Linked DNA regions of Oreochromis niloticus. The protein of the gene in region 1 purifies or fractionates together with the protein of each later gene. This does not show direct contact. Links are inferred from orthologs where the notes say so. Each region holds a gene or a part of one and is shown in the gene's direction. Other genes may lie near its edges. The genes, in order: psmc6, ecpas and psmd5.

Region 1 (7,603 bases):
AGTCAAATGGCATATGACCAAAAAAGTGGCGGTTCTTGGGGCTGGCTGGTTAATATTGCCAGTTCACGTCCCCGTTTCACTGAGCTGACCAGCCCCTTGACCAACCTTACCCAACACAGTGCCCCAGAACTGGTCCAGTGGACAGAGCAGTGCCAGGCCGAGTTCATGCAGCTGAAGAAGGTTTTTTGTTGGGAACCCCTGCTCCACACTACTAACTTTTCCCTCCCTTTCTTCCTGCAGACTGACACTTGAACACAGGAGTGGGCGCCGTTTTGTCCCAGCAAATAAGTGGGATTGACCACACAGTCATTTGCATCAGCCAGAAACTGTCCAAGTGAGAGGCCAGGTACAGTACAGTGGAGAAGGAGTGCCTGGCTGGTGGGTGGTGGACTCCTTTTCTTATTACCTCTCGGGCAGAGTTGATCCACACTTACCGGCCTGAACACCCTCTGCTGGCTCTGATCCATGCCTCTTTGTGCCTGGAAACATGGATTCCACGTAAGGCAAAGACTCTAATGTTACTCACTTGTGGACAATATAGTTTACTTCATTTCTGGAATCATCACCTGATCTAACTCCTCACTCGCTTAGATCTTGCACGGTTCCTCACTGACTGTTCCCATTTCCCCAGCAAGCTCAGCCTCTTGCCCAGGTTAATCCTGCTCATATATTTCTCTTGACTGAATAAAGCTTTGTAACTATTGTTTCATGCCTCATTCGCTATCTGGCTCTACTGCTTGAGTCCACTTGTTTTATCCCTGTAAATCATTACATGCATTTAGATGATGCAACCTTTTGCACCTTGTGAACAAAACAAACTACAGCCAGTGAACTACCAGTCTTTGAAGTAAACTGACAAAAAGTAATCTAAGTAGTGTAGTGAGTCATGGTTTACAGAGTTAAACAAAAAATTGATGCCTTTTCACAAAATGACAATGTTATACTTCTATATGTGTAAGTGTCACGATGACTGAGCACATCCTCACAGTTTTACTCATGAGGAATCTTGAAAATGCTAACAATTTAGGTTTAAATTACAGTCATACTGTTTGCAGAAGTACATTTTGTCTAATTTGGCTTTTCTTCTTCTGCCATGGGTGCTTCCTCTTATGGGCCAGCTTGACCAACAGCACAGATTTCTTCCACTGAATCCCACAAACTCTTCTCTAAATCTTTGGAAAATATAGAAACAACATAGTTTCAGAAGTTTTAATGCTGGCCTCTTGCTGATGTGTTCATTTACTCCCTCAGAGGTGAATCTGCTGCTGGGTTCTCCTGATCTGACTCTATCTGTTTCTGGATCATTCAAAGACTTAAATTCTGAACAGATCTACAGTTTAAAACTTGTTATACCTGCGCTGGATTAAACTGTAAATCATAAGATAATGAAAATTACATGCTATGCTAGTCTGAGTGACTGGGGATAATATGATGGACTCCATACCAACGATAACAAAGTCTGATAAGTATAGTATTTTTGCACCAACACTGTGAATCCCAGTGAGCTATTAGCTGAAAACTTATCTCAGCATAGTTTGCATTATGTTCTTGAAATTTTTAGGAAACTGGACAAGTAAACGACACAAGAGTGTCAGGCCTAAAAGACTATCCAGAGAAGATGAACAGTATCTGAAAGTCATATCCCTAAGAAATGGGGAAAAAATTCCAGCAAAGATTTGATTTAGGACCTAAGAGATGCACTGGTCCCTCTAGTTGATTCATCTACTGTTTGCTTAGGCCTATTGAGAAATGGTCTCAGTGGAAGGGGCTGTAAGGAAAAAATCATTTAGAAAGGGAAACGGCGAGAGAAGGCCAATATATGCAAAATTACATAACAACTGGAGTGAAAATTTTAAATATTATCAGTTTGTATGGAGGAAGACGGTGGACCATGAAATACCATCTGGAAAACATTTGATTGGCTTTAATTTCCGCAATAACAACAATGTCAAAGACACTGGCAATGCAGTAAAAGCATACGTGGATAGAAAAAAACAAATACAAGACTATGAGGCATGGGTTGGCCATCAGTATTACTGAAACAGTGTGGGATCATACATCAGGAACCCCGGACAACGATTCCTGACTGCTTAAGGAAATTACAAGAAACCTTGCCTTAGACCAGTGATTCCCAAACTTTTTTTTTGCTAGGCCTCCCTTTGCTTCACAAGAAAATCTTCGCACATTTTAGCAATAAAATGAACTACTAACTCTTTTATGCTACGTCCACACCTACACATGTATTTTTGAAAACGCAGCTTTTTCTGTGCGCTTGGACCTTCTGTCAACACGTAAACTGCGTTTCGAATCACTCAGTTTTTGCGTTTACGTGGTGTGGACGAGGAACACGGAGTTCGTCACGCAACGTCAAAGTATGTGCCTTTTTTCACGTCACGCTGTACGCCACGTTATTGTTTACATGAGATAAATTTCTACAATGGCGGATAGAGACAAAATACTGTTACTGTTAATCTTATTATCTGCAGTTTTTACACGCTTACAAATACAGACGCAGTTACTGTCCCTCCATTTAGAAAAGCAGAGGCGTCAGGGTGTAATTATTTTACATGCAGTTGTTTTTTTCCCCCGTGTAATAATATTCAACATTGCTATCAATACATTTGTCATAAAATGCCTCTCTGTGAAAAATGGGTTCAAAAACATAAACAACTGTGGGATACTGTTTGTCTGTGATTTGGACAGGGGGAACAAATTGTGGCAGGATCAGCCTGATATTATTTGTATCCCACTGTAACTTTACTGTATAAAGAGCCAACATCTCCAAAATGTCAGGAGTAGTTATTCATTATAAGAAGTGTTTGTGAACTAAAAATCAAGAATGTGGGATACTGTTTGTCCATGATTTGGACAGCCCAGCGCGTGCTCCCGACGCAGGGGAAACTAATTCTGTCGGGGAGACCTACCTTGGCCATTGTACAGGTGAAGCCAAAGGCAAGATATGCTTCATCATATTTTCTCAACATACTTGGCGATGCTTCATCTTCTGCTTTGCGTTTATGTGGGAGCCCGTCAAAAACCTGTGCATTATGCTAGCAGTGTCCAAGCGTTCTTTATTTTAATTTTTTTTATTCATACCCCTTGCCTCCAGGGGGCGCCCGGCCCCCCACTTTGGGACCTCTGCCTTAGACAGTTCAGGTTGTGTTGAAGGTGGTCATATTAAATTTTGACCTTTTTTGGCAATCACAATTATAATCTCAATGCACTGTTGTACCAAACACATTCATCTTTTTCTAAGATGAGCTCTGTAAATTCTCTATAGGCTCCTCTTGTTTATTTATTCATTTCTATTAGTGTTATTTCATTTATTACATTATATGTGTTGTATGTCTAAACTGACAGGCAGCAGAAAAATATATCGATTAAACTTATACCTGTTATGATCAGTATTAATCAATTAAGCATGATTAACTATCAGCAAAATCACATATAAATAATGATTCAGTGCTTAACAATGACTACATACATAATAGTGCTTCTCTGATTTAGAATCATGTATGAGGATGGGCTGGAGATACATTTTTTATCTTTTCACATTCCTGCAGCCACACACAAGCAATAATCTGCTTTGCTGCAAGTCACCTGCTAATCGGAAGGTTGGTGGTTTGATCCCTGGCTGCCCCAGTCTGCATGCCAAGTATCCTTGGGCAACATATTAACCCAAAGTTGCTCTCTGATGCATGTGTGCTTAGATAGAAAGTACTTAAAGCATAGAAGAAAGTGACATGGGTGAATGTGACATATTATATAAAGCGCTTTGACTGAGGGAGAGTAGAAAAGCGCTATATAAGAATCAGTCCATTTACCAAAGTCAAAGCTGAATCACATCTACATGCAAAATCCAGACATTACAACAGACATTTTCATTACTCAAACTGTTTTCCTCATTCATCATATCAAGTGGAATTATACTTTCACTATATCTTTGATTAAGGATAAATATAATTTATTATTAACAAAAGCATGTATGAATAAACTCTGTTTTAGCACGTTGCATCACAACAAACATAAAAGGGCTGGATGTTGAGTTATTTTACCCTCTCTCAGATATTATGACAGGTGAGTCAGGGGTACTTCAATCTCTTTCAACCTATGGTTTAAAATCAGGATATGATCTGAATGCACCGTTGTGCCAAACTTATTCCAAGTTGAGCTTTTATCTTTTATTCATTCATTCATTTTATTTATTGTTTACAGTACATAAAAATACATTTGTAATACAGCAATGCTAGAGCTAACAGGCAGGATAAAAAAAGAAAAAATGATAGGGGGATAGATATGAGAGGAACACTAATAAACAAGACACTCGTGAAAGACAAAAAATATGGAAAAACACAAACTAACAGTCTTATTGTGTTGTGTTTGTGTGTGCTATAGAGAGAGCACTGACAGGAGCTGGAAATAGAGCATATATTGGCTTCTCTTGTTAAATCCAGAATCGCGAGCAACTTGAGGCAACTGTTGATGGGATTTGGGGCCATATAAATAAAACAGGATTGAATCGAATCGTGTGTGTGTGTGTGTGTGTGTGTGTGTGTGTGTGTGTAAATATCAATCCCAGCGAACAGCAACATCACGGAGCGCGAAATTTCGGCATCCGACTGAGGTAAGCGAACGCACCAACAGTGGAGCGACACCGCATTTTCCCATCATTCAGCGGGGCGTCATGGCGGACACTAGAGAAAAAGCGCTGCAGGACTACAGGAAAAAATTGCTGGAACACAAAGAAGTTGATGGGCGACTAAAAGAATGTAAGGGATTATTTAACACTAATATTTGCGGCGTGCTAGAAATTTGTGTTGTTTAGTTGACTGTTTACTTGTAGATGGACAGCCAGCATTGATTAGCATACCAGCTAGCTAGTGCTTTGTCATGCAGTTAGCTTCTCGGTGGAAATGTATGGAGGCTACCGGCTCTCGCTACCAGCTTAGGTGTATAAACACGACAGTGATACAGTTCGTCCGTTCATTGGATAATTCATATTTTAAGGCCAGTTAATCTAAGAATGTGATGTCATTATTTATTAACGTTATCAAGAGCTATAAGTAAAGCTAACTTCTGATTTCACGTTGATGCGAGCATTAGCTGTAACAAAATGTTCCAGTTAGCTCTTAGTGTGTGTATGAAACATGTTGGCTGTCCGTTGTTTTCCAGTGAGAGAGCAGCTGCGAGAACAGACCAAACAGTACGAGAAATCAGAGAATGATCTCAAGGCTCTCCAAAGCGTCGGTCAGGTAAATATACCGTGCGGAAATTAATCATTTGGCTTCAACTAAAGACTGAAGGTTAACGTTGTACATCAGTGCATTCACACTCAATCAATGCAAACAGAAGACCATTCACTTGTTATCTGATGACAGAAATCTGAAGCCAGTTAGTGTAATTAGGTGTGCAATATTTCTGGCTGTTGTAAGTCAACAGCTAGAAACAAGCAGTTTCCACCAATGCTCTACAGCGCTGAACACTTTCAGCTGACTAAGCTGCTATAGGTGAGAAACTGTAACAGCAGACAATGTCAAAAAAGTGATTTTTCTTTTCTCCTTTTCTCCTTTGTGTCCCAGTTAAAGAACTAATAGTGAGGCTGTAGTACACAAAGCTAATGTCAACACAAACAGAAGCGACCTGATGTATTCTTTATTAGCTAACTATGTGTCTTCCCTGCAGATTGTTGGAGAAGTGCTCAAACAACTCACTGAGGAGAAATGTAAGTCATACATTCCCATATATAGCAAAGGTAGAAAAGGCTGAATAATTTTATACATCTCTTTAGTCTTCTACTGTCAGGCTCATTATGCAACACCTGTGTTGAAGCCTGGTAATCAATGGAAATAGCAAATGTGAATCTGTGACTTGTGTTACGGTGTTAAACTCAGGTGTGTGGTTTGTTTGTTTGTTGACTGAAGTCATCTGTTCTTTGCTCCTTAATTACAGTCATTGTAAAGGCTACCAATGGACCCCGATATGTGGTTGGATGTCGCAGGCAGGTAAGGGTTGATCACATTCTAGTGTTTGTGCTGTCTTGTAATGCAGAATTTTCTTTGGGGTTTGGAAGCCCTCTGTAATCACATCTGAGAGCTTTGAGTGATAAATCATTTGATTTTCATCATTTGACAATGATGAGGAAATAAAAATAGGTTTACAAAAGACTCTGTACCAATGTATGTCTGTTTCTTTGTGCACAATGTTGTAAATCAGCTGGAAGTACTCCATTATTCAGCACTGAGTTATGTCATTTTTAGAATGAAACTTTCTCAAAAAATGCTGACTTGACTGTATAAAATGTAAACTCTAATCTTTTTCATTCCAGTTGGACAAATCCCAGCTGAAGCCAGGGACCAGAGTGGCTCTGGACATGACTACGCTTACTATCATGAGGTAAGGTGGATATGATGACTACTTTGAATTGGTTCACCAGGATCGTGTCTCACAGCACTAAGAAAAAGGTTTATAGAGGCTGGGGTCTAACACACCAGGTAAGACCCCAGGTGCAGGCTGTGTAAAGAAGCAGTGAGATCCAGCACATAACAGCAGGGTGCAAGATGCTAGCAGGCAGGGCAAACATTGGAACACCATAACCAAGTGGCTGGCATAGTATACAGAAACATCTGTCCCGAGTGTGACCTGGAAGTCCAGAGGTCAAAACGGAATACGACCCAGTGGATGGTGATGGCTGGTGGTGGCTAACCAACAGTATTACCATTACCATAGTAGTGGACAAGCAGAGGAAGGTGGCTGTAGTGATAACAACCTCAGGAAGAAGGAACACAAAAAGCTCAAGAAGTACTAAGGGCTGAGAGAGGTGCTCAATAAGATGTGGAGGGTGAAGGCAACAGTGGTCCTAGAGCACGTGGTTATCGGAGCACTCAAGCTAGTGACCCCCAAACCTGGCGAGTGGCTCGAGCAGATCCCAGGAAATGTGGAGCTTCCCAAAAACCCAAACTCAGAACACAGCATCTTTTATCAGGTTGTTATTCAGAATAAGCTACCATGGTAATTCAGCCAGGAAAAAAGAGAGCTGCTTTGATGACACAGGAAAGCTATGACTGAAATTTCAACAAAGTGCTCTCCTGCTTTGTAGTACGGCCCTCAGCACTGATTAATAAACAATAGATTTATCACAGCACACAGGTTTGTTTACTTTTACATCTCTGAATTAATAAGTCTGCTGCAGTGGGGAAACTCCATATGGGTTTGCTTTATTGGCATTATATGACATGAAATCACAGTTGCAGCTCCCTTTAAACATCAATATAAAATAAATAATTTTCATACTAGTTGTGCGGGCTTTCATCGACCTGTAGGGCTTGACTGAAGGCATTAAGCTGAACAGATAGGAGCTGGGTGGGAGGAGTCTTTCAGGATGATTTTTGCTCTTCTGCATCTGGAATTGGCGATCTCCTCCAGGAAGGGGAGGCAGAGAGCATCTGACGATCCTCTGTGCTGTGTTTATGACGCTCTGCTGCTTCCACTGTACCACACTGAGATGCTGTAAGTAAGTACACAAGCAGCTTCTGGTTCAGTCTCTTTTTACTGAGGATTGGCACAAAGTGCATATGGTGCATCACCTTCACTGCCATCGCCCGTG
Region 2 (8,009 bases), on another chromosome or scaffold:
TAGTCAGCTTTGCAGTATTTGCCAGAATCTGTTTCTTCCTTTCTCAATACTCTTCTCTACCCATCATTGTGGTAAAAGTTAATCTTGGTTTCATGTGTCCAAATGATTTTTCCAGGACTGTTCTGGCTATTTTAGATGTTTTCTGTCAAAGTTTAATCCAGACTTCTTGTTTTTGAGTGTAACCAGTGATTTGCACCTTGTTGTAACTCTCTGTACTTCCATTCATGAAGGTAGACTTTGACACTTGTTTCACAAGGCACTGAATACATGTTCCACACTCATTAAGTCCAAATATTATCTGCTTCATTCGTCATGAAATAACAAAGGAACAGGCCATGAACCTGATCATCAGTCAATTTAATTTTGCTATTATTTTGCTAATGATAAAACGAATTGTAAAAACTGAGCAGGGAATGTAATAAGAGAAAGCTAAACTAGAAAGGTTGGCTTTAGCATCAACATGCATGAAAAAAAAAAAAAGAGCAAAAACAGAGAGATGAAAGATCCATCTACCTCATCGTAGAGGCTGCCACTGACATCAGCACCATATATGGGTGAAACAAAAGTGAGGTTCTTCCAATACTTCCTCTCAAGGTCTTCATAATTCAGGTAGCGAGGCGTACAGTACCTGTGAGAAAAAGAAAGAAATTTCATTTGACATTAGACAGCGATCCTTGAAGTTGTACAAGTACTTTGCTGTGGTCTAAACCGGAGACGCAGAATCAGAGCCAATGAGACCAACACCAAAGCAACTTATTTCTACTCTTAACCACACTTTACACTTGGGTACGTGGACTTTGTTTTAATAATATTTGCTATGCTTGTGTTTTTTTTGCTAGATTTAGTAACCTATTTTTATTTTACTTTACTGATTGTGAGCTTCTTTACATCGTACTTACTTCTCTATTCAGTTTTTAACATAGTCTTTCATTTAAACATTTACCTTTTTTTAAAATTCACTTTTATTGTATTTTTGATTTTTAATTATTGACCGGCTTTTTGTATATTAAGCTTTTTACATTGCTTTCTATGGTATGTGTGTATTTTTTTAACATATTGAGCTTCTTTGTTTGATTCATGTATATTTACTGCTCTTTCCGTTTACTTGACCTCCTTTTTATGTAATTTTAACCTTATTACGCTTTCATTCATTTCATTTCATTCGATCATATTTGAGTTATTCTCCTTTATTCTATTTTGTTAATGGTCATGTTTAATACTGTTTTTGCCAGCTTGTGGTCAATTTCTCTTTATTAGTATAAGTATACAAAACCTTACAGGCCTTTTACAAAGGTTTGTAAATAGTCATAAACTCTGAAGAAATTTGGTTTTTTGCTGTGACAACATCAAAATGAAACATTTGTGTGAATTTAAGAACTCTTGCTCCTGATTATTAGAGTTAACGAAGCATGTAAACCAGCTAGCTAAAACTCACATGTCACTGTTGGCCAATCGTCTGAACTCCTGCACTGTCAGAGGTTTTTTCTGGATGTTGTATTGAATGAAGAGCCCTGATTGGCCGGCTACCATCTGCTGAATTGGAGCATCGATGACCAAATCATCTATGTCATCATAGGTGCGACGGGGCTTCCAGCCTTTAGGAGGAATTACCTGAAGGATAAACAGAGGAATCAAAAACAACGATGTAGGAAATGTATCTGTCCAAAACAAAAAGTCAGTTCCTTGTGCATTTACATATGTCACACTATACATCATTCTCCTTTTCCTTCTTTTGATTGACTAAATCCATCTTCGGTTCAAACTATGTATAAAATGTAAACCCACTCACTAAGATATAGTAACTATATGATAAGTTTAAAAAAATAGCTGTCCAAGGTCTGATTCAACTCACTACTTACCTTAGCCAGGCCTGCCCGATGTGCACCCTGAGACTCCATGTAAACCAGATACTTGTTGAAGTCCTTGAACTCTTCCATAGTGGGCCTGAAGGTCATAATCTTGCAGGTGGGGTTTGCAGCGGTATGCACCTCTGCTCCCGCCATCCTGCCACCTTACCAGGTAAAACCTGAGGAGAAAGAAAAACAGAAAATATTGATGATGTTCCAACATTAATGTGAATTTTGTATGAATTTTAAAATTCACATAAAAAGTATCTGTATCTGTCAAAATACTTTACCCCTATACTGTCTATGGTTAGTAAAAATGCAGGGTATTAGTTATTTAGAATGAATTTCAGGAGTAGAGCAACAAGGGGACAGATGGTTTTGCACCCCCCAGCACCAACTCTTGTTACAAATACAAAATACAATACAAAATGCCATTTAACAACTGTTCACCTCCCATTTCACTTTTTCCACACTCATCACAATGATATATAATTTCAAATAGCTTCATTATAGTTATAGTGTTAGAAATTCTTCAGTTTTTCTGACGACTGCAAAAAATACAAATCGCATTACTTGGAGATCTTGTGCTCATTAGCAGTTTTAACCCATTGGGTAACTGACTTGCGTGTAACTGACAGGTTCGCCACTAGATGGAGATAGAGATTCGACAAATGTGGATATGATCTATTGATCCTTGCTCATGCCAACAACCCTTTTCAGATTTTTGTCCCATCCACCCATCCCACTCCCAACTCTGAGGTTCCTGTGTATCCAGACAAAGGATCAACGGGTGAAGCTGTTGTGTTTGTTTGGCCTTATATTTCTTTATAAGGCTACTTCACTGCAATCTACATTACATGAGACCCAATTAGTGGCATGCGACCTAATTATGTAATAGGCAATCACAGGCTGGAACAAGTTTTCTGGGTTGAGAGATTAAAAATCCTTAAGCACAATGTTTACATCCTTACTCTTTGTCAGAGTGTTAAAACAATCGTTTTAAAACCCTGCATAACCTCCGTCTGGCATAATATATATATTGGGATAAATAAATATCTCCATTAAATCACAGCAGAATTGTATGTACGCATTAATAACACTGCCTGAACGCCTCTGGCTTTGCTGATCTTTGTTGTCTGCCAACAAGCTAACTAGCCAGCTAGCCTACGTTTTGTTAGGATGCCAAATAATGGCTGAACAAACAGCGCAGCTTGCTAGCTCGGCTGACTAGCTCGCTTATATTTAAATGATACCCACCGGCTTTAATTTAATGTGTGTTCGTGGGGCATTGCGGCTCAACAGTATTTGGTGCTAACAGTTAGAGAGGGCAAAGCATTTCTAACTGTTAAGTTAAGCCACCTATCGCGTTAGCTAACTTCTTACTGCACGAGTCAATGGGATTTAAATGCCCCTCACAAGAAGGCTGCACACAGGCCTGTAGCTACCCCCTTCGCCACTTTATGTAGTGCAGAACATTTCATCTAGCACTTCTCTACTGTTATTTCTTATGCAAGTTTAGCAACAGACCAACAAACAAAGCCAAAGCATACAGCGCGAGATGTCCAGTGGCATGAGAGCGTGCCAACTTATGTTTGTGGCAGTGCTAACGCTTAGCTGTTGATAGCTCGGCTAATTCTGCACAGGAGTCACGAAATGCACCCTGCTTTCACACAAACTGGCGCAAAGCTAGCTTCCTCTGCACAATTTTCGCCGGTATTTCACATCATGTCCGCATTAAAGTGTACAGAGTTTTATTTTATTTTATTTTACCTTGATTTAGAAAGACTCGGGTCGTGTTGTTGTTTATCCCCTTCCTTGTTCGTACAGCTGATTCACATGACAGCTGCTGCTGATTCGTGCCGTGCAGCACGGCGGTGTCCCACACCGCCTCCACAGGCACGGCCGTGGTGCAGTAACCTATCCAGGCGCTGTGAGATCTGCGGATCGGGAGGCGAGCCCGTGAACTGGAACGCAGCCACAGACGTAGGTAGTAAGTGCACGTGCATCCCCAGCGCTAAAAAGTAAAAAAAGTGCTGGTCTAATATTTTGTCATTTCTATAGCTGCACCTTGAGACCCAGAGGAGAAAGTTATTTTTGTTTTTAAATCTATAAATAAATTTTAAAAAAAATCTGGAGTTAATTGTGCAATTTGTAATATCAAGAGCTAAAACAATTAAGCTTAAATTAAATCCCAAAGGATTTTTTAATAGTAGCTTAACTTAGCCTAGGCTGCCTTTTTGGCATCTGATGAAAATAACTTTTGGGTTGCCTGGTTGTGAGAGGTTTGTTAGGTTGGGATTTAATGCTCCAGAATTAGTACTGAATTAGTAATTTGTGAATAATTGTACAAAGAAGTTATTTCGTGTATCCCCTGGACTGAGGAGAGTAGACAATGAGACTTTGGTGGTGGAAGGAAAGGGTACAAGAACTCATTTGAAGGAAGAGGATGACGAAGAAAGAGGGGGGACAGCAGTACTGGAACAAAAGCAAAGGACACAGCTTATAGTGAGTTGTATGCAAGGCTGGACACTAAAGAATAGATAACTTGTACTGGTTGACTGGCAAAGATTTTGACCTGGAAAGGATGTGCAGCTGGTTAGAGTGATTTAGGACAGAGCTGCTAATGAGTGTGCTAGGAAGATGGAAGGAGTACTTTGAGGAGCTGATGGATGAAGAAAACGAGAGAGAGAGGAGGAAAGTTGGTGAATCATTAAGTGCAGAGGATTAGTAAGGAGGAAGTGAGGACAGCTATGAAAAGAAGGTGTCTGTGAAGGTTCTCAGTCATCCAGGTCATGGTAATGTAAGGAGCTTGTAAAGAAAAGCAAGTGGACTGGAAACTTAAAGAAGCCCAGTGTATTTGTAGTGAAGTGAAATGAAGTAGTGTGTTGGACATGTATGAGAAAAGTGAGAGAGTGGTGAGGTGTGCAGTAGCAGTGACAGATAGGTTCATGGTGGGGCTGGGATTAAATCGGGAGTATAGGGTCTTACAAGCTTCTTCTGGGTTGTAGTAGCAATGGATAGGTTGACTGATGAGGTCAGGCATGTCTCCATGGAGTTTCCATGGACTCCTGTTGGATAAGTTTAAATACCAGCCAAAACCATGGATAGTGTACGAGAGAGAGTGTATTTGTGTCAGGGGTGAGCTGTGAAAGAACAATAGCAGCAAGAATAAATGGGAAATGTGAGACATGCTATGATGTATGGTTTGGAGATGATGGTGCTGACAAAAAAAGAGACGGGTGGAGCTAAAGAGGTTAAGAATTTCAATGGAAGTGAGTAGATCAGAAGGACAACTCAAGTTGAGCAGTTTGGAGACAAAGTCAGAGAGGACATGTGCAGAGGAAGGATATATTTGACAAAGGATGCTGGATAACAAGGTGCCAGGTAGGAGGAAAAGAGGAAGACCACAGAGAAGATTCATGGATGTAATGAAGGGGACATGCAGACGATTGGTGTGACAGAAAAGGATGCCAGTGATAGGGCGATCTATCTCGTTGTATTTGTCGTGAGAGCCTGTAGAATAAGAGCATGTAGGCTCTCTTAAATGTACAAAACTTCCTTGTGATTTCTTGTGTGTCATTTAATCGTTTTTGGTGTCTGGGGTGATGAAGCAGTAGCTTAGGAGTGGCGCCGGTGGACGCAGTAACACTCTCTAAACTGGGGGGTCGCTGATTGACTTTCTGCAAACATGGCTGCCCAGGATGAACTCAGTAAGTTTCTTTTTGGGTTATTGGCGATTCATATTTTGTCAAATGTCGCACTCGTGGTTTCTAAAAACGTATCCAGGAAAATGCCTGATCCGCCCTGACAGTTGAGGTGCTTTTTTGTGTAACGCTAAAGCTTCTTTTAGTTAAAAACCAGGGGTAGGTGCGATAGCTAGCTACTAAGCTAACCAGAATGCTATCGTCAGGAGGCCGTTTGCCCAGTCATGGTCAAAATGAAACTATCACGTAGGCTATTAATATATATAATTTTATGAAACTTTGAAAGTGCGCAGTAACTGCTAGGATATTCGGGGTATTGGGGATTTGACCTGCAGGATGTGACCTTAAGTGAAAAGCTAGTTGAATAATACAGAAACGATCAAATGCGTGAATAGTCTTGTCAGTTGTTGTAGCTAGCTGGGTGCTTGGTGAGCCATGCCAGGAGAAGGAAGGCAGGGCTGGGTGATGGTCGCACCAGCACAGCAGCTGACAGGACGAACTTATCAGCAGAACTGCAGCAACATGCCCGTAAGACCGTTTTAAGCATGCATGTTGCTCTCCCTCTATATTAAACTGAAGGTCGTAGTCTCTGTGTTACAGACACCTCTTTGGGGTGTATTGTGAGATACTTGAATAGAAAGATATTGCGAAATTAGCCATGATGGGGCCAATAATTAGCGTGTGACAAATGCCGCCTGGAAAATGTGTTAACAAGGGTATTATATGTGTTTTTGACAGATCAACTGGAACGTGTGTTCCTTCGCCTGGGCCATGCAGAGACAGATGAACAGCTGCAGGACATTATCTCCAAGTTCCTACCCCCTGTTCTCCTCAAGCTTTCCAGCGTTCAAGAGGGGGTGCGGAAGAAAGTAAGAAGGGTGTAGCCTGTCTCTGTTACTTAAGAGATTATAATGACTGCATTACAAGGGAGATGTGTTTATAAAGTATCAGCAGTATCATTAGCAGTATCATTACTTCAAAGTTCAGCCCAGAAAAAAATTATTTGAAGGTGTAGCAGAGATATAGACTCAGTTCTCTAGATGCAAAGGTTCTTCAAGGAGCTTAGTTCCCTTTCACTTTGTTTATGCATCTGTCTAATTTAACTACGTAATAAAATGTGGAAACTGCACCTTCTCTGCTAGGTAATGGAGTTGTTGGTCCACCTGAATAAGAGGATAAAAAGCCGGCCTAAGATTCAACTTCCAGTAGAAACTTTGCTTGTGCAGTACCAAGACCCTGCAGCTGCCTCTTTCGTTACGGTAAGAATCTCATATTAGGATGTTTGCCATGTAGTGGAGGATGTCGTGTTTGCCTTGTGGGCGTGATTGCCTTATGGGCTAATGAACAGCGTTGGTAAGGTATCACACAGTTACCACATGGGATTTAATCAGATCAGTGTTTTTGTCCCTTTGTTTTTTTTTAAAAAACACACCATTTAATACACATGATTGAGTTGACGTTTATGTGGTTTTTTTAATCTAGTTAGTGATCCTAGATTGACTTGGGTTTTTAAAAATTGGCCTATTATTGAGAGCAGAGTTTTGATGGTCACATTTATACACAGAATTTCACCATCATCTACATTAAAATGGGCTACCCTCGTCTGGAGGTGGTAAAACAGTGTGAGCTAGCCCCGACCCTCATCACTGCCATGGAAGGAAAACCACAGCCACAGCAGGACAGGTGAGGGGATGCATCCAAACACGCATTTTGGATGTGGTTGTGTAACGTGTGTTAAGCAATCTTGAGATATCAGCTTATTATTCTTAATTTAAAATGACTTGTCCATACTCTATTTTCTCTCTTAGTCTGATGCACCTGCTGATCCCTACTCTTTACCACATAAAGTATCCTACTGACACCTCCAAGAGTGCTTCTCTGTTTAACCTAACTGAGCGGCCAAAGACAATGCACCTGCTGTTGGAGTTCATGTTAGATGTTTTACTGATGCCTTATGGGTGAGTTGATGATTCATAAGCGAATAAGGGTTGCAGACCTACCTCTGGTGAAATTATTTGCTTTTGAGAAGTATTTTTACCACAAATTGCTGACCTGTAGTGTCCTTCTCCTCCTAGCTTTGTGCTGAATGAATCTCCAACTCGCCCCGCTCCCTCCTCCTCCCAGGGTACTTCTGGAGATGGGACAGTGGCTGCGAGTAGTCAGGGTCTCCCTCAGCCTCCTCCGGGGATGAGTGTTTATGCTGCCAAGAGGGTGATTGGAGAAGCTCAGTGGAATGCTGAACAGCTGGAGCAGGTATACAAACTGAACTGGGAGGATGAGTACTGGCTTTATATGTTTATCTGTTTGGAAAGATAATATGCTCAGTGTTTGGGCAGGCCGACCAAGTATATTTATGCCCATCCAAGTATGTTTGGTGACTTGTTTTTGTCTGTCTGCGTGGATAGCTCAATGCCCTGTTGATTTGGTAGATTTGGTCCCCCTTGCCAATGTTTTGAAA
Region 3 (7,976 bases), on another chromosome or scaffold:
GAGGTCTGAACTTTGTCTGGGTCATTGCATTGACTCTAGAGTACTTTGGTATCAAGAGGAGTTCATGGAGAAGCCAGTGACTGAAAGGAGCACAGATCCTGTGCAAAACAAACCCATCATCACTCCTCCACCACCGTGCTTAACAGTTGGCTTGTGTAACTACCAACCGCAGGGTGAATAATCTAATGTGAAGACTGGCTTCTACCTTGAATGTTTTCCACTCGTGAATAATTTCTCTTACTGTAGAATGATGGACTTTGGAGATTTTTGGAATGGCCTTATAGCACTGTTGCCGCACAGCAAGAAGGTCCTGAGTTCAATTCCACCATCAGGCCGGGATCTTTCTGTGTGGAGTTTGCTCTGGGTTCCCTCCGGGTACTCCGGCTTCCTCCCACCATCCAAAGACATGCAGCTTGTGGGGTTAGGTTAATTGGATAATCCAAATTGCCACTAGGAGTGAATGTGAGTGTGAATGGTAGTCCGTCCCTGTGTGTTAGCCCTGCGTCAGACTGGCGACCTGTCCAGGGTGTACCCCGCCTCTCGCCCTATGACAGCTGGGATAGGCTCCAGCGCGCCCCGCGACCCTAAAAAGGATAAGCGGAAGCGAATGGATGGATGGATGGCCTTATAACTCTCCCCAGATTGATGTGTAGCAGCATTTGCTCCACCAGGGTCATCGCTGATGTCTTTCTTCTTTAGAGTTGTGTTAACAAACATCATAGTAGATGTAGTTTCATTTTTAGTTTGTGTTTCTTGTCTATAGAGTATTAGGGAATACAATATTGTGAGCCACTTTATGGTATATGGCATTTTCGCAGAAGTGCTAGTAACGTCAAAGGACAGTTTAACTTAATTTGTATTTGTGAAAAAATACATTCTCAGACTTTCTTGCACGAGACCCAAACTTGCAGACCTTTGGCACTGTAGTTCAGTCAGTTTGCTGAAATAATCTGGAGACATCTTGTCTGAGGGGCTGTTTTTATGGCCATACTGGCCTCACAGCAGGTTTGTGGTGCCCTTTGCTGGCCTCTCCATTAGAAACAGAGTCCCAGTTTATTCTCTGAATAGTTCTTGAATAGTTTGGAGTTGTGCTTCTGAGCATTGTAAGAGGAAATTTGCGCCTATAAAGTTGTTTCCCAACACTCTGGAATAGCACTGCAAAATAAAATGATAGGTGCCCCTGTCCAAGATCTTTTTTATCCTGTACAAATGTCCCACTTTGCCACCATCAAAGCATCCCAGATTGTCACATTTCTCCTTCAGGCCAGACAGACGGGGTCGGCCTTTCCTCCCGCATCATTTCATTTGTCTCACAAATGTTCCAGTACCTGCTGGATTTATCTGTTCAGTCTCCCAAACATTCCTTTCTCAAGTCTTCTTTTTTTTTTAATTGTCTGTCTCTAATATTGATTTTCTTTGCATCTCTGTCTCTAAGTCCAGCATGCTGAAGTCTCCTCTTCACTGCTGATGTTGAGACTGATGTTCTGTTTGAAGAAACTGCCAAGCTGAAGACCTGTGTGACGCCCGTGTCTCAGATTGAAGACTAACATACTTGTCCTCTCGCTCAGTTTTTCATCAGAGCCTCCCATTTTGCACTGTCCTTTGAAGGGAGCAGGACACACCTGCTTATATGGAAAAATCAAATTTCTGACAATTTCAGTGAGAAATAAATGCCAGTTTTCATTTATTACCATAACTAGATGAATGGATAGCAACAGTCAGTTAGCAGTTTTACATGATAAAGTTGCATTAGTGAACACAATGTAGAACACAGCAGACATGGTTGATGAGAATGTGGTTCTGCAGAACTACGTAGGTATTTTATAATTATTGGATTTATTGGTTAATAAATCCAATAATTATTTTTATATATGGAGTATTTCTGATTAATGTTCTGTTTTTTTGAATGAAAATCAAAATCAAAAACACCAACCAACCTGTACTGGCTGGTATTCTATTTTTTCTTTTTATATCAATAATAGCTTATTTCTATTTTTAATAACTATGAACTATATTTTCATGTAATTATAAAGCCAGGTCTGTCAGTGGACAAGTAAACCTGCCTGAAACTCTTTCTGACACCTCTCCAAGCATTTCGGTCCATGTTCTGGTTTAATTCGTTGGTTGCTCTGCCTCTTTCTTTGATCCGGAAAAGCAAAGTGCATGCTGACATTTGGATACTGTGCAGACAACACAACAAGGATTCCATCTATCAAGCAGAAGAACACTCGCTGGCCTAAAACAGAACTTTTTTATGTGATGCAACTCTGCAGGTATTTGTTAGAGCATCAGATCTCAGCCCACCACGGAGCCTGCGCCCTGTGCCAAACCAAACCTCCTGTTTTAAACAATAATTAGTTGTATTTCCATTCATTTATCCTCTTATCCTCTTTCTGACACTACTGTGACATGTCCCCTCCAAGCACGACTTCAAGTGATCAATTCAGCTGGAGATGGTGGAAATATGTGGCTTTTGGGTTTGGGCAGCATCCCATTTCGTCAAAAATAGTAGACATGCCTATCTGGAGAGAGCATGGGAATAACTGTAAAGCTGGCAAAATAACGATGGCTGACTTTATTAGGAAAAAATTTAGATAGAACAAACAAACACACACGAATATCCCCTTCCCTTTTTTTTCTTATTACCAATGAAAAAAATGTGATTAAAAATATGATTAACTGCTGTAAAGAATTATTTGTGGAAATGTTGTCATTACTAACAATGGTGCACTTTCGCTACAACAACTCAACTTGTCACCTGGACCACAAAAGCCGTCATTAGTGAAAATATTTTATTACTGAACCCAATTAGATCTTCTTCTTCGGCTGCTCACCAGAGCGGATCATCTACCTCATCTCACCCTATCCTTAGTGTCCTCTCTGTCACACTACGTCCATGAATCTTCTTAGCAGTCTTCCAGTTTTCCTCCTGCCTGGAAAGTCCATATTCAACATCATCTCTGCATCGCCTCTTGATTAACTTTTATTAACTAACTGCTCGACCTGTTAGTTAATATGTTTGAATGAATGTTTGAGTTTCTCATCCTGACCATTCTGGTCACTCAGCTCCGCCTCCTAGCTGCTCTCACTACCATCTTGTAAACCTTCCCTTTCACACTTGCTGATATCCTTCTGTCACAAATCACCCCCGACACTCTTTGTCACCTACTCCACATTGCCTCTTTTGCATTGTCCATTGATTTAAATTGTTCACCCCAGGCATTTAAACTCATCTACATTCACTGCGTCTGCTTCTTCATCTTTCAGCCTGTCACACTCATTCAAACACATCTATTTTGGGTTGCTTCCTCTTCCCTCCAGAGCATGCCACCACCTCTCCAGTCTCTCTTCCACCTACTCCCCACTCTTACAACAGATCACAATGTTGTCTGCAAACATCAGCGACTCCTGTATGACCTCAGTAGCTACATTGACTATCACCATCACAAGAAGGGGCTGTCACATCTGTCACTTCTACACCTCATTGGTGTTTCACTGCCCTCAAACATGTACTGCACCATCCTCACATACTGTTCTTCCTTGTCACACTTGACTTCTTCATACAGCACCACAGATCCACTCTTGGGACCCTATCACATGATTTCTCTAGATCCACTAAGACAGAGCGCAACTCCTCCTGACCTTCTCTGTACTTCTGCATTAATACTCTTAAAGCAAACATCATGTGTGTAGTGCCTTTATCATGAAACGAAGACATACTATTGGTCACTGATTATCACCTGTCGTGTTACCTTAAGTTCCCATAACTTCATCAGCATCATGCCTTCTGTAGTTTCTACAGCTCTGCACATCACCCATAATGGCTGCTGTATTTCTGTAAATGCAGCTAGTTTTGCACTGAGTTATCACTCACTTCTAAACTGACGATGTCTCTTAAACCATAAAACTTAGCAGTTTATATCAGTGTCTGTCTCTTCTGGATATCTCCTTTCCCTACTCCTTGTAGTTTAAGTGCCACAGTTACTCCACTGATTTTCTAATAAAGGTGCAAAAGTGTGCAAACAGAATGAACAAAACATTTGATTTGTCACTGTCAGAAAAAAGCCAGCAGTTGCAATTTTAATTTATTTATTTGTGTGATTTGAGCTGTGTGCAAACAGGCCTACCAGGTAGCTTCTCTGCAGGCCTCAATCTGTGCGGGTTAGATGATGATATATACAAATGCATGGTCCTGGAGTATGGCGGGAGCTCTTTCACTAAAATAATGACTTCACTATTATTTCTATTACAGCGAATTGGGCACAGAGGGAACTGTGTAACGATGGAGTTCACTTTGAGGCCCTTCCTCCGGCTGCCACCAGGGGTCGCCTGCTTCCAGCTGAATTCAGCTCAGCCACAAACACTGCCCGCCCGGGGTTTCGGTCCTCTTTCGGAATAATGCGGGAGTTAATCTACTACTAATACAAGAGTTTCATCTCTCATCTCAGTTTTTAGACAGAGGGATAATTAGTCTGTTAGGTCCAGTGTGTTCCTGTCATTTCCAGCGTAATTAGCAACAAGCTGCAGCCACGCTGAGTCTCTGTTTCAGCCCACATTGAAAGTTCGGACTTCAAAGTTTTTAAATTTTAATTACCGGCCAGTAAATCCAGAGTTATGATAATATATATATAAGCCATGCTTTTTACTAAATACTGTCGTCACGTTTTTGTGTGTGTGTATTTTAAGCGTTTTCTAAGGACAGCGCGAAAACAGTAAAGAAAGGGGGAAAAAAGCCACCTCTTTCCTATCGGTGGAAAAATGCACCATGTCGACCAATTTAAAAAAAAGTCAACATGTGGGATTTGGTTGTTTAGGAAGAGGGGAGAGTTTTGGGAGTGACGGTAACGGCAGCAAGACAGTGTACACCAAACACACAGGCTGTTTCTGCCTGCAGGAAGATGCGTCAAGGTGGCCGCAGTTAGCAGAACACGACCGGAAGTGAGCGTCTGGGAAAATCTAAATTCGTATAAACTGGTTTTACAAGAACAAAAAGTGTTAAATGAGCAGCTGGACCAGGTAAGCCTTAAGGGAAAAATTACTGAATCACCTATCTACAGTTATTGAGTAACCAGAGTGCTGCCCTCTCACACATGCTTTACACTGGGCAACATCGCTCTTTAACTTTACATCTGCCATTTCTAGCCCCCTTTCTCTAGTACCTACTCAGCACTAGTTGCGGATCCTAAATGCTCATATTGTGCCATGATCACAATTACAGACTCACATTACAGACTCACATTTGGAGACACTGGCTGCTCCTCTAATTGTTTGCTTTTGTCAGAGTAGAAGAAGAAAAATTCTTTGCATACTTTACTAGTTAGGAGTTTAGGGTCTACAGGCATATGAGGTCTTAGCAACAAATTAACAATAACAAATAAATGTATATTATCATAAACTTAAGCATTGTCTTAAACTCGGAAGGTTCTATAGATGACTATGGACAATTGAATAGTACTAAAATATTTTTTTAATAAAATGCTTCAGAAAAACAACAATAAAAACAAAAAGAAATGCACCCACCCCCCCAAAAAAGAAAGAAAAAGAAAACCCAACACTATTAGATGCAGGATCTTTTCATTACCAGTAATCATGTCAGTTGTTGGTGTTAACCTGAAAGTTATAATACAGCGCAATTTTATTATTGAAGTTACACTTTGCAAGTTGTTTAAATCAAGGGGGACACATGGAGAGGGAGGAGGTGATAGGGCAGGGATCACGTAGAGCAGAAATGAAGGCTGTTGAGCCAGATTAAACCTGAGGACCGACCAACATGTACGCCACTGCTGTGTCCCTATGATCGGTCAAATGCCATGACATATAAAGTCTTTATTGTCTGAGTTTTTACCTGATGCAGAAAGACAGTCAAACACAGTGGAACTTGGCCAAGTTGCAGGGAGCACATTTAAGTCTTTGAACTGCTATGAACTGTGTGTCAGCAGAGCAGTTTTCGACAGACTGGGAAAGTGACTTCTCATTCTTTAAACTAGTAGGATGTTAATGGCTTAATGAAAAACGGGGGGAAATTTTTGATTAAAAAAATTATATAACATTGGTCAGAAATGTTGAAATTACTCTTGAATAGTGTAAAAGTACCAAACCATACTGACGTACAACAAGTAAACATATATAACTATTAGATAATTTGGTTATTGGCTAGAATTTGGCAAGAAATAAAAAGAAGAAAAGAAAAGAAAAGAAAAAAACAAGGACTTTGGGGATCCGAAATAAGTGGAGCATCCTTCTCAGTCCAGCAGGTGGCGGTAATGTGCCATATTGTTAGATAGCCACCGTATCCGGAACCGGATGAAGAAGAAATCAGTTTGGCGGATACGTTTGGCTGAAGTCTCCCAAACACTGCACGATATGGCTGCTTCCATTGACAGCTTACTGGAGGAAATCGCTGGGGTTGAAGACCCAGTTGAAGAACTTCAGAGTTTAAAAACTGCTCTGTTGGCGATTCCTGTCAGTGCCTTGAAGGACTCAGTGAGAGGACAGCGTTTAGATGTCATATTCTCTCTGCTCAACTCCAGTGACAGGTGGGTTTGGCTTTGTGCATCAGCTAAACGTTGGTGAATAAGTGCTGAGTCAGTCAGTGGGTATAATATATGTATTGCTAACAGTTAGCTATATTGACACTAAGTTAACGTACAAGAAGAGTTTATTAGTTAGCTTAAAAGGGCTGCTTGAAACTGAGCTAATTGTTAGCAACTGGTTACAGTGCTACTAACAACACAGCCCCAGCAGGACACTGTTTGACATTTAAAACACCAACCTGGCCTTAAAAGTGCTTTGGTACATCAAATATTTCCACACTGACAGCTGTGAATGGTATTTTCTAACACTGTACAGACTAACCATAGTTAAAATAAAAAAATAAGAAGGAGCTATATTGATTGTTAAATAAATAAATACTCACAGGGCACAGGTGGAGCTATGCGTAGACATCCTTGAACGCATCTTAATGGCCATGAGCCCTGTGCATGTGGTCCAGAACTACAGAGCGGAGCTGCAGCGGGGGTTGACTCACCCAAATGACACTGTTAAGATACTGGCCTTGGCACAGGTAGGCTGCTCGCACACATACATGCACAGAAAGTATCTTATAAAACACTGAAAATATTAGTTAATCCCACCTACTTGTGTCAGATTGGGAGAGTGGTGGAGGACCCTGATGCTGTTACTGAAATTCTCAACAACCACGACGTCCTCCGAGCAGCGATCCGGTGCATCGGAGAGGAAAAGATGGCTGTGGCAAAACAGGTGATGAATAAAGCATTATAATTACTCGCGTTTTATAAAGTGTCAGTGCCTGGAGTATCTGTTTTTCTTTTGTTTTATCTCAGGCGATTCAGTCCTTGTCTAAGTTCAGTCATTCCAAGCCTGGATTAGACAAATTATTCCAGACTGACCTGCTGCAAGTCATGAAGGATGTGATGGCCACAAGTGACATTATTAGATACAGAATATATGAGGTATGTTCAAACTGGGTTATAACATAGCATCAGCATCCCTTGTAATGATTTTAAATTCTATTTACTTAGATGGAATCGGTTGACAGCATGACATTACTTACACATACTGACTTAGGTCATTTTATATATTGTATACATGTCATGTACAGAGTTTGACACTTTCATATAAATGATCTTAAGAAGTTTTTTTGTCCTTTCTGCTTGCAGCTGGTGGTGGAAATCTCGTCTGTATCTCCTATTTCTCTCGGTTACTGTGCCAACAGCGGCCTCATTTCTCAGCTGCTCAGCGAACTAACAGGAGACGACGTATTGGTCAGGTAGTACAAACTAAGTTTGACTGCTTTTCTCCTTCTTTCATAAGTGTTTCTTCTTCATTTATGCTGTTAATTTGTTTTTTACCAGGGTCACAGCTGTAGAGATGGTTACAACTCTTGCACACAGTCAGCATGGTCGGCAGTATTTGGCCCAGCAAGGTATCATGGATAAGATCTCAAACATGATCAG

Evidence for each region.
Region 2: the proteins of psmc6 (region 1) and ecpas purify together in Homo sapiens (affinity purification with western blotting; 3 studies listed by BioGRID and IntAct, with this or other methods). This does not show direct contact. The link is inferred for Oreochromis niloticus from reciprocal best matches to the Homo sapiens genes PSMC6 and ECPAS.
Region 3: the proteins of psmc6 (region 1) and psmd5 purify together in Homo sapiens (co-immunoprecipitation; 4 studies listed by BioGRID and IntAct, counting the BioPlex papers as one, with this or other methods). This does not show direct contact. The link is inferred for Oreochromis niloticus from reciprocal best matches to the Homo sapiens genes PSMC6 and PSMD5.

The regions. Positions count from the first base shown.
Region 1 is NC_031980.2:28,556,821-28,564,423, forward strand, and holds the start of psmc6 (26S proteasome regulatory subunit 10B), read left to right. Parts: upstream 1-4,597; 5' UTR 4,598-4,684; coding exon 4,685-4,769; intron 4,770-5,172; coding exon 5,173-5,252; intron 5,253-5,682; coding exon 5,683-5,722; intron 5,723-5,949; coding exon 5,950-6,002; intron 6,003-6,325; coding exon 6,326-6,393; intron 6,394-7,603. UniProt on the Homo sapiens protein: Component of the 26S proteasome, a multiprotein complex involved in the ATP-dependent degradation of ubiquitinated proteins.
Region 2 is NC_031971.2:23,753,478-23,761,486, forward strand, and holds the start of ecpas (proteasome adapter and scaffold protein ECM29), read left to right. Parts: upstream 1-4,978; 5' UTR 4,979-5,209; coding exon 5,210-5,231; intron 5,232-5,442; exon of another isoform or gene 5,443-5,535; coding exon of another isoform or gene 5,536-5,557; intron 5,558-5,644; exon of another isoform or gene 5,645-5,663; intron 5,664-6,289; coding exon 6,290-6,420; intron 6,421-6,693; coding exon 6,694-6,810; intron 6,811-7,115; coding exon 7,116-7,234; intron 7,235-7,359; coding exon 7,360-7,509; intron 7,510-7,626; coding exon 7,627-7,804; intron 7,805-8,009. Other genes in the region: kdm4c (lysine-specific demethylase 4C), read right to left, coding at 514-628, 1,436-1,611, 1,860-2,003. UniProt on the Homo sapiens protein: Adapter/scaffolding protein that binds to the 26S proteasome, motor proteins and other compartment specific proteins. May couple the proteasome to different compartments including endosome, endoplasmic reticulum and centrosome.
Region 3 is NC_031972.2:16,544,131-16,552,106, forward strand, and holds the start of psmd5 (26S proteasome non-ATPase regulatory subunit 5), read left to right. Parts: upstream 1-4,888; 5' UTR 4,889-5,016; intron 5,017-6,246; 5' UTR 6,247-6,303; coding exon 6,304-6,536; intron 6,537-6,918; coding exon 6,919-7,063; intron 7,064-7,146; coding exon 7,147-7,260; intron 7,261-7,343; coding exon 7,344-7,472; intron 7,473-7,679; coding exon 7,680-7,789; intron 7,790-7,874; coding exon 7,875-7,976. UniProt on the Homo sapiens protein: Acts as a chaperone during the assembly of the 26S proteasome, specifically of the base subcomplex of the PA700/19S regulatory complex (RC).